Linked DNA regions of Oryctolagus cuniculus. Each later gene encodes a partner of the first gene's protein in a complex. Links are inferred from orthologs where the notes say so. Each region holds a gene or a part of one and is shown on either strand. Other genes may lie near its edges. The genes, in order: ERCC2 and POLR2D.

Region 1 (3,799 bases):
GGCCGGGCCAGCTCATTCTGGGGCTCCCATGTGCGCAACAGAGACCCAAGGGGTCGAGCCACCGCCTGCTGCCTCCCGGGGTGCCCGGGCTCTCCCAGCTGTGTGTGGGGGTGCGGCTCGGGTTGTCCAGAACCCAGCCTGCCCCTGCGGGGCGTGGAGGCCGGCTTCGTGGAGGGGCCACTCAGCGCCTCCATGTCCCCCGCCCCAGGTGACGCCGCTGCGCTTCGGAAAGGACGTTGATGGGAAGTGCCACAGCCTCACGGCCTCCTACATTCGGGCGCAGTACCAGCAGGACGCCAGCCGGCCCCACTGCCGCTTCTACGAGGTGCCGGGGCTCGGCCTGAGGCGGGCAGGCCAGGACAGCCGGGCGGCCACACCCCTGACCCCGCCCCTCTCGCCCACCAGGAGTTCGATGCCCATGGGCGCCAGGTGCCCCTCCCCGCCGGCATCTACAACCTGGATGACCTGAAGGCCCTGGGGCAGCGCCAGGGCTGGTGCCCCTACTTCCTCGCCCGGTACTCGGTGAGGGGCCGGCGGGGCAGGCGCAGGGGCGGCGGGTAGCACCCGGCCGCCCCTGCGTGTGGGGGCTCGGATCTGGCCTCTCTGCCTGGGAGGGAGCGAGGAGGCCCCGAGGCCCAGCTGACGCTGGCTCCCGGCCCCAGATCCTGCACGCCAACGTGGTGGTCTACAGCTACCACTACCTCCTGGACCCCAAGATCGCCGACCTGGTGTCCAAGGAGCTGGCCCGCAAGGCCGTGGTGGTCTTTGATGAGGCCCACAACATCGGTGAGGACGGAGCCGGGCCGGCGGTGACGCCAGCACGCACGCGCACACGCCCCCGCCCCCCCCCCCCGCCGGAGCCGCGCTGAGCCCGCCCCTCGCCTTGCTCCCCACAGACAACGTCTGCATCGACTCCATGAGCGTCAACCTCACGCGCCGCACCCTGGACCGCTGCCAGGGCAACCTGGAGACGCTGCAGAAGACGGTGCAGAGGTGGGTGCGGTGGGCGGACCCTGCCCAGCCCTGCCCCTGCCCCTGCCCCAGGCCCGCCCCTGCCTAGCCCCTGCCTCTGCCCTGCTCCAGCCCTGCCCCTGCCCCAGCCCCAGCCCCCGCCCCCGCCCCAGCAGACCCCGGACGCCCGGCCCTGTCACAGTGCCCCGGCACCCGCGTCCCTGCAGGATCAAGGAGACGGACGAGCAGCGCTTGCGGGACGAGTACCGGCGCCTGGTGGAGGGGCTGCGGGAGGCCAGCGTGGCCCGGGAGACTGACGCCCACCTGGCCAACCCCGTGCTGCCGGACGAGGTGCTGCAAGGTGAGGCCCTGCGGCTGCGTGGCCTCGCCGCGGCCCCGGCGGCCCCCGCTGACCCCCGCCCCGCTCCCCGCTCCCCGCAGAGGCCGTGCCCGGCTCCATCCGCACGGCCGAGCACTTCCTGGGCTTCCTGCGGAGGCTGCTGGAGTTCGTCAAGTGGCGCCTGCGCGTGCAGCACGTGGTGCAGGAGAGCCCGCCCGCCTTCCTGAGCAGCCTGGCCCAGCGCGTGTGCATCCAGCGCAAGCCGCTCCGGTGCGTGGGCGGGGCGGGGCGGGCGTGGGCGGGGCCTGCTGCGTGGCCAGTGCCTTCATCTCCCGGGCTTTTCCCTGGCTGTGGGTGGGTCCTGGGCCTCTGGCCGCACTTTCTCTGGGGCGGGTGGGAGGCACCGCCACTCTCTGGCCTTGGGGCTCTAACCATCCGTCCCAGGTCTCGGTCGCGTCCCAGTGCTGTGGGTGAGGACGCGGGGCTCTGACCGAACCCTCTGCAGGGGGCAGCCCTGGGCGGTTTTGCTCACCTCCCCCGGCCAGGCAGGGGGCTCGTGAGGACAGAGAGCGGGTCTGGATCACTCAGCACCTGTTCCCGCGTGCCTGCTCCGGGCTGGGGACCCAGCGGTGGCTGAGACAGCCCATGGCGCCTCTGGGCGTCTCCCGATGGTGATGGGCTGGAGGAGGTGGGAGGAACCAGGCTGCAAGAGGTGAGCCCTGGAGAGCCCTGGAGGCGGACTTTAAGGTCCCGCTGCCCGCCTGGCGCCAGCCTCCGGCCAGCCTGGCCTCAGCAGGGGCCCAGCGCTGTGGTCGCCTTTTGGACTTTGATCGGTGTGTGCTCTGCGGGGGGGGGGGGGGGCGGGGGGGGGCTGTGATGCCCCGTGCGCGCCCGAGGGGCTGTGCAGAGGCTGCGTGAGCCCGTGTCGGGCAGGGCCCTGGCGGCGGCTGTGTGCAGCTGCCCTGTGTGGGACAAAGGCAGGAGCGGCCACTCACCCGCGAGGCAGGTGGGCGGGGCCCCTGGTCCGCTGCTGGCTCCGCCCCAGCGGCCCCCTCCGCTGCCCCCCAGGTTCTGCGCTGAGCGCCTGCGCTCCCTGCTGCACACCCTGGAGATCGCCGACCTGGCCGACTTCTCCCCCCTCACCCTCCTCGCCAACTTCGCCACGCTCGTCAGCACCTACGCCAAGGGTGAGCTCCCCTCCGCCGCCGCGGCCGGGCCCTGGGCTTGGACCCTCGTGGCCTCGGGCCTGGGCTCCTTTCAGAGGCACCACAGAGCCACAGGCGGTTGCCTGAGATTTTTATTTATGTATTGAAAGAGTGACAGAGAAGAGGGAGAGAGAGAGGGCTTCCATCTGCTGGTTCCATCCCTAGATGACCACAACAGCCAGGGCTGGGCCAGGAGCCGGGAGCTTCCTCCTGGTCTCCCACGCGGGTGCAGGGGCCCGGCACTTGGCCCATCCTCCACTGCTTTCCCTGGCACATTGGCAGGGAGTTGGGTCGGAGGTGGAGCAGCGGGGGCTCGAACCAGCGCTGTATGGGAAGCCGGCACTACAGGCAGTGGCTTTACCCGCTGCACCACACTGGGTCCCGCCTGCCTTTTTTGTCTTAATTCTCGTTGGAAAGGCAGAGCGGGTCCAGGGCGCCCCCGAGTGCTGGAGTCACCGCCTGCTGCCTCCTGGGGTGCGCATGAGGAGGCACTTGGACAGGGTGTGGGTGTCCCGAGGGCGTGGCTGCCTGCTCGGACAGCCTGGGAGTGAGCCTGGTGCTCAGGCCTGTGTCTCCTGGCCCCTCTGGCCGGGGGAGGGTGAGCCCTGTGGGGTCGCCCACACCATGCAGCGTGGTCAGGACTTGGTGGCCGTGCGCCCTGTGGCACTGGGGAGCCATGGCAGGTTCCGAGTGAGGGAGGTGCTGGGTCGGCTTTGTGCCCGAGGAAGAGGCTTCTGGCAGGGCGGGGGGCAGGAGCGGAGGAGCCTGGGCGGGGTGACCCAGAGGCTGCGTCCATTGGCCCCGCCCCCTTCCTTCGCTCGACACCAACCCAGGGCTCAGTCTGATCCCTGGGAATTGCTGCCCTGTGCAGAAACCAGGTCAGGCCCAACGTCCTGCAGGGGGCAGAGACGGTCACCCCACCCCAGGGCCGGTCAGCAGCAAGTCCTGGCCGTCTCCTCCTCCAGGAAGCCCTCCCTGACTTCCTCTGTGCCAGCCCTGCCCACCCTGGAGCACCACTGCGCCCAGGGCAGGGGCTTGGATTATTTTTTTTTTTATAAAGAGAAAATATGTGAATTCATATGTTCATTCAACGAATGAGCTGGGCCCAGCACTGTGGAAGCAACAGAGCCACAAGACTGCCTTCCGAGACCTGGCTGGAGGGGAAGCTGGTGGGCGGGACCCCCAGCGCTGGTGCCTACAGGGCGCGGGGGGCTCTGGGCGGAGTCAGGCCTCAAGCAACCCGTGGAGCTGCCTCGGCCAGGGGCCAGCGTGTGCAAAGGCCCTGGGGGAGTGAGCTTCCGGG
Region 2 (4,267 bases), on another chromosome or scaffold:
CCCCTGCACCCACGGGGGAGACCCGGAAGAAGCTCCTGGCTTCAGATTGGTGCAGCTCCAGCTGTTGTGGCCATCTGGGGAGTGATCCAGTGGATGGATGAGCTCTCTCTCTCTGTATCTCTGCCTTTTGAATAAATAATTTTTTTTAAAGTAATACAGAGAGAAACAGAGTTACACACAGAGAGAAGGAGAGGCAGAGAGAGACTTGGGCCATCTTCTACTTCTTTCCCAGGCCATAGCAGAGAGCTGGATTGGAAGTAGATCGGCTGAGACTCAAACAGGCGGCGGCCCTACCCGCTACACCACAGCAACGGCCCCTCAAATAAATCTTAAAAAAAAAATGAATTCATAATAAAGATACCATAACTAGATAAAATAAATTCTTCTTTTTTTTTTTTTTTTTTTTTTGACAGGCAGAGTGGACAGTGAGAGTGAGAGAGACAGAGAGAAAGTTCTTCCTTTTTACCGTTGGTTCACCCTCCAATGGCCGCCACGGCCGGCGTGCTATGGCCAGCGCATCGCGCTGATCCGAAGCCAGGAGCCAGGTGCCTCTCCTGGTCTGCCATGCGGGTGCAGGGCCCAAGCACTTGGGCCATCCTCCACTGCACTCCCTGGCCACAGCAGAGGGCTGGCCTGGAAGAGGAGAACCCGGGGGGCCAGATAAAATAAATTCATAAAACACAAAACGGGCCGGCGCCGCGGCTCACTAGGCTAATCCTCCGCCTTGCAGCGCCGGCACCCCGGGTTCTAGTCCCGGTCAGGGCACCGGATTCTGTCCCGGCTGCCCCTCTCTGCCCAGCTCTCTGCTGGCACCTGGCTCCTGGCTTCGGATCAACTCCAGCCGTAGCGGCCATAAATGGGGTGAACCAACGGAAGGAAGACCTTTCTCTCTCTCTCTCTCACTGTCCACTCTGCCTGTCAAAAAAAAAAAAAAAAAAAAAAAAAAAAGCCCACAAAAGCATGGTCTCTCATTGGCATAATTTTCCAGGAACCATCCTAATGTCCCCATAGGTGGGTTAAAGGCCTCTGGACATCACTGTCCACACTCTCAAAAAGAGTAGATAATTCACTGCAAGGCAGTCAAATGTTTGACTGCTAACATCATTGGAAGAAATCCTACCGTAGGCTTTCGGGGTCATCTGCCCAGCTTTCCATGACCCGCCAGTCCCTGCATGAGTAGTCCCTTAGCGTGCCAGCGCATTCCACCTTTTCTCGGTCCAGAAAGACCCAGTAACCCCGCGGAAAACCAAAGCAGAGCCAGGGCCGCTTCTTCCGGGGCCCCGCCCCGCCCCGCCCCATCTCCTAGCCCCGCCCCGGGTCCCGCCCCATCGTGGCCAGGCTAGCGGCTCGCGGCTCGGCGCTTCCGCTTCCGGTGCTGTCTGTGGCGGCGCGCGAGACAGCTATGGCGGCCGGTGGCGTTGATCCGCGGGCTGGCGACGTCGAGGAGGACGCTTCACAGCTCATCTTTCCCAAAGGTGAGGTGAGGTGATGCGGGGCTATCTCTAATCATCGGTCGCTTCTCGCTGAATTCCTGGCCTCAGCGGACGGCCGGGGTCCATCCCGGCGCGGCGTGGAGCTGGGGGAAGGGGGACCCTGGCCCTGGAAGGATCCTGGTCGGGCACCGGCGGACCCTGGCGTCGCGGCTTCCACGCTCCCATCCCTGGAATGCTCGGCGCCCACTGGCATTTGCCCCTGCCGGGCCTCCTGCTGCCTGTGTTAGGTGCACTAGTGTCTTTTACCCGGGAACAGACTGCCATCTGCTGCCTCGCAGGGTGCATACCAGCAGGAAGCTGGAATCAGCAGTGGAGCCAGAACCAAATCCAATATTGGATGCTGCACGGGACTTGGGTTTCCCAAAGTAGCATCTGAACCACGGTACCTTCGTTTTGTACTAGAGAGAAAAATGTATGGTGTAAGAAGACCACTCAAGGGGCTGCGCCGTGGCTCACTTGGTTAATCCTCTGCTGCGGCGCCGGCATCCATATGGGCACTGGGTTCTAGTCTCGGTTGCTCCTCTTCCAGTTCAGCTCTCTGCTGTGGCCCGGGAAGGCAGTGGAGGATGGCCCAGGTGATTGGGCCCTGCACCCGCGTCGGACACCAGGAAGAAGCACCTGGCTTCGGTCGGCGCAGCTCCAGCCGTGGCAGCCATTTAGGGGGTGAACCAACGGAAGGAAGACCTTTCTCTCTCTCTCACTCTGTCTCACTCTTATCTGTCAAATAAATTAAAAAAAAAAAAAAAAGACCACTTAAACAAGCCACTCGTAAACCATTAATGACTGTAGTGCAGGAACCTCAAGAGAATTTCCAGGTGACTTACTGACCAAAGAATCATTTTAAGTTATTTGTGACCGCCATTTTTAAAATAGCTGCACTGGGGCAACATGTAGGTCCCTGATTTCACCTAGAAAATAATGAGTTTAGCCTTAGGGAGAAATATTGAAGCCTTCCTCTCCATAGTGTTTTCTTTTTTTAGATTTATTTGTTTACTTGACAGAGTGAGAATGAGAGCAGGAGGGAGAGAGAGAGATCAGAATCGCTCTTTCATCCACTGGTTCACTCCCCAGAAGGTCATCATGGCTGGGGCTGGGTCAGGTTGAAGCCAGGAACCAGGAACCCTATCTGGTCTCCCACGTGGATGGCAGGGGGCCAGTCTGTTGAAGTAGAATCCTGGAAATGTTTCTCAGGGGCTTGGTGGTATCACACACTCTTTGCCTAAGCCACTCCAATCAGCCAGTTTGGCTTTTTCTTTCTCTTTTCTTTTGTTTGGGGGGGTGGGGTGGGGTGTATGTTGTGGAAAGGCAGAGAGACAGCTGCCATCCACTGATTGGTTCCCCAGATGCCCACAGTGGCAGAGCTGGGCTGGGTCACCAAGAGCTGGGACTGCAATAAAGGTCTCCCACATGGGCGGGAGGGACCCAACTGCTTGAACCATCAGTTCTGCCTCCCAGGGTCTGCGTTAGCAGGAAGTTATAAATCTGCAGCTGGAACCTGAACCCAGGTCCAGGTGTGCTCATGTGGGATGAAGGCATCTTCCCTGCTAGGGCAAACACATGCCCTTTCCTTGACTGAAGAAAGTGAGGGTAGTGTGTAAGTAGTACTTGGGCATTGCCTTAGTGAGGAATGGGAATGAATGACTAGTCTCTGCTGTCCTGACATTCCATTCCCATTACTTTTGTTGTTAAATTAATTTATTTGGGAGCTGGCGCTGTGGGGCAGTGGGTTAATGCCCTGGCCTGAAGCATCGGCATCCCATATGGGCGCCGGTTCGAGACCTGGCTTCTCCACATTCCATCCAGCTCTCTGCTATGGCCTGGGAAAACAGTGGGAAAACATGGCCCAGGTCCTTGTGCCCTGTGCCCATGTGGGAGACCGGGGAGAAGCTCCTGGTTCTTGGCTTTGGATCGGCACAGCTCCGGCTGTTGCAGCCATCTGGGGAGTGAACCAGCGGATGGAAGACCTCTCTCTCTCTCTTCTCTCTCTGCCTCTCTTCTCTCTGTGTAACTCTGACTTTCAATTAAAATAAAAATCTTTAAAAAAATTAATTTATTTGAAAAGCAGAGTGACAGAGACAGGAGAGACATCTTGTGTTCCCTGTCCTCCCCCAGATGGCTGCAACAGCCAGAGCTGGGCCAGGCTAAAGCCAGGAGCCAAGAACTCCATCCGTGTCTCCCGTGTGGGTGGCACGAATTCAAATAGTTGAGCCATCACCCAGGTGCATTAGCAGGGAGCTGGCTTGGAAGTGGAGTAGCTGGCAGTCTGATTTGGGATGCTGGCTCCAAGCAATGGCTTAGTCTGCTGTGCTGCAAGTGCCAACCCTATCCCATTGCATTCACAAATAGATGTGGCTTAGTGCAGAAGCAGAGGCTTCTCTAACTTTGTTTGATTTCCATTTATTTTTTAATGAAAATTTATTTATTTATTTGAAAGGCAAAGTTAGAGTGTGAGATCTTCCATCCACTGGTTTATTTCCCAGATGGCCGCAATGGCCGGAGCTGGGCCAGTCTGAAGCCAGGAGCTTCTTCCAGGTCTCCCATGTGGGTTCAGGGGCCCAAGGACTTTGGCCATCCTCTGCTGTTTTTCTCAGGCCATTCTCAGGGAGCTGGATCAGAAGCAGGAGCAGCTGGAACTCAGACCTGCCCCCATATGGGATGCTGGCACTGCAGGCAGTGGCTTTACCTGCTACTAGATTAGTCCCAGCTGGGGTGCCAGTGCCGCAGGCGGAGGATTAGCTAGTGAGCCGCGGCGCCGGCCTTAATTCCCATTTTCT

Evidence for each region.
Region 2: ERCC2 (region 1) and POLR2D share a complex: the UniProt entries of both Homo sapiens proteins name them as parts of the TBP-based Pol II pre-initiation complex. The link is inferred for Oryctolagus cuniculus from reciprocal best matches to the Homo sapiens genes ERCC2 and POLR2D.

What each region holds. Positions count from the first base shown.
Region 1 is NC_091449.1:11,481,727-11,485,525, forward strand, and holds part of ERCC2 (general transcription and DNA repair factor IIH helicase subunit XPD), read left to right. Parts: intron 1-208; coding exon 209-325; intron 326-405; coding exon 406-522; intron 523-662; coding exon 663-786; intron 787-896; coding exon 897-993; intron 994-1,178; coding exon 1,179-1,312; intron 1,313-1,392; coding exon 1,393-1,561; intron 1,562-2,359; coding exon 2,360-2,478; intron 2,479-3,799. UniProt on the Homo sapiens protein: ATP-dependent 5'-3' DNA helicase. Component of the general transcription and DNA repair factor IIH (TFIIH) core complex, not absolutely essential for minimal transcription in vitro.
Region 2 is NC_091434.1:121,247,764-121,252,030, forward strand, and holds the start of POLR2D (DNA-directed RNA polymerase II subunit RPB4), read left to right. Parts: upstream 1-1,313; 5' UTR 1,314-1,402; coding exon 1,403-1,475; intron 1,476-4,267. UniProt on the Homo sapiens protein: Core component of RNA polymerase II (Pol II), a DNA-dependent RNA polymerase which synthesizes mRNA precursors and many functional non-coding RNAs using the four ribonucleoside triphosphates as substrates.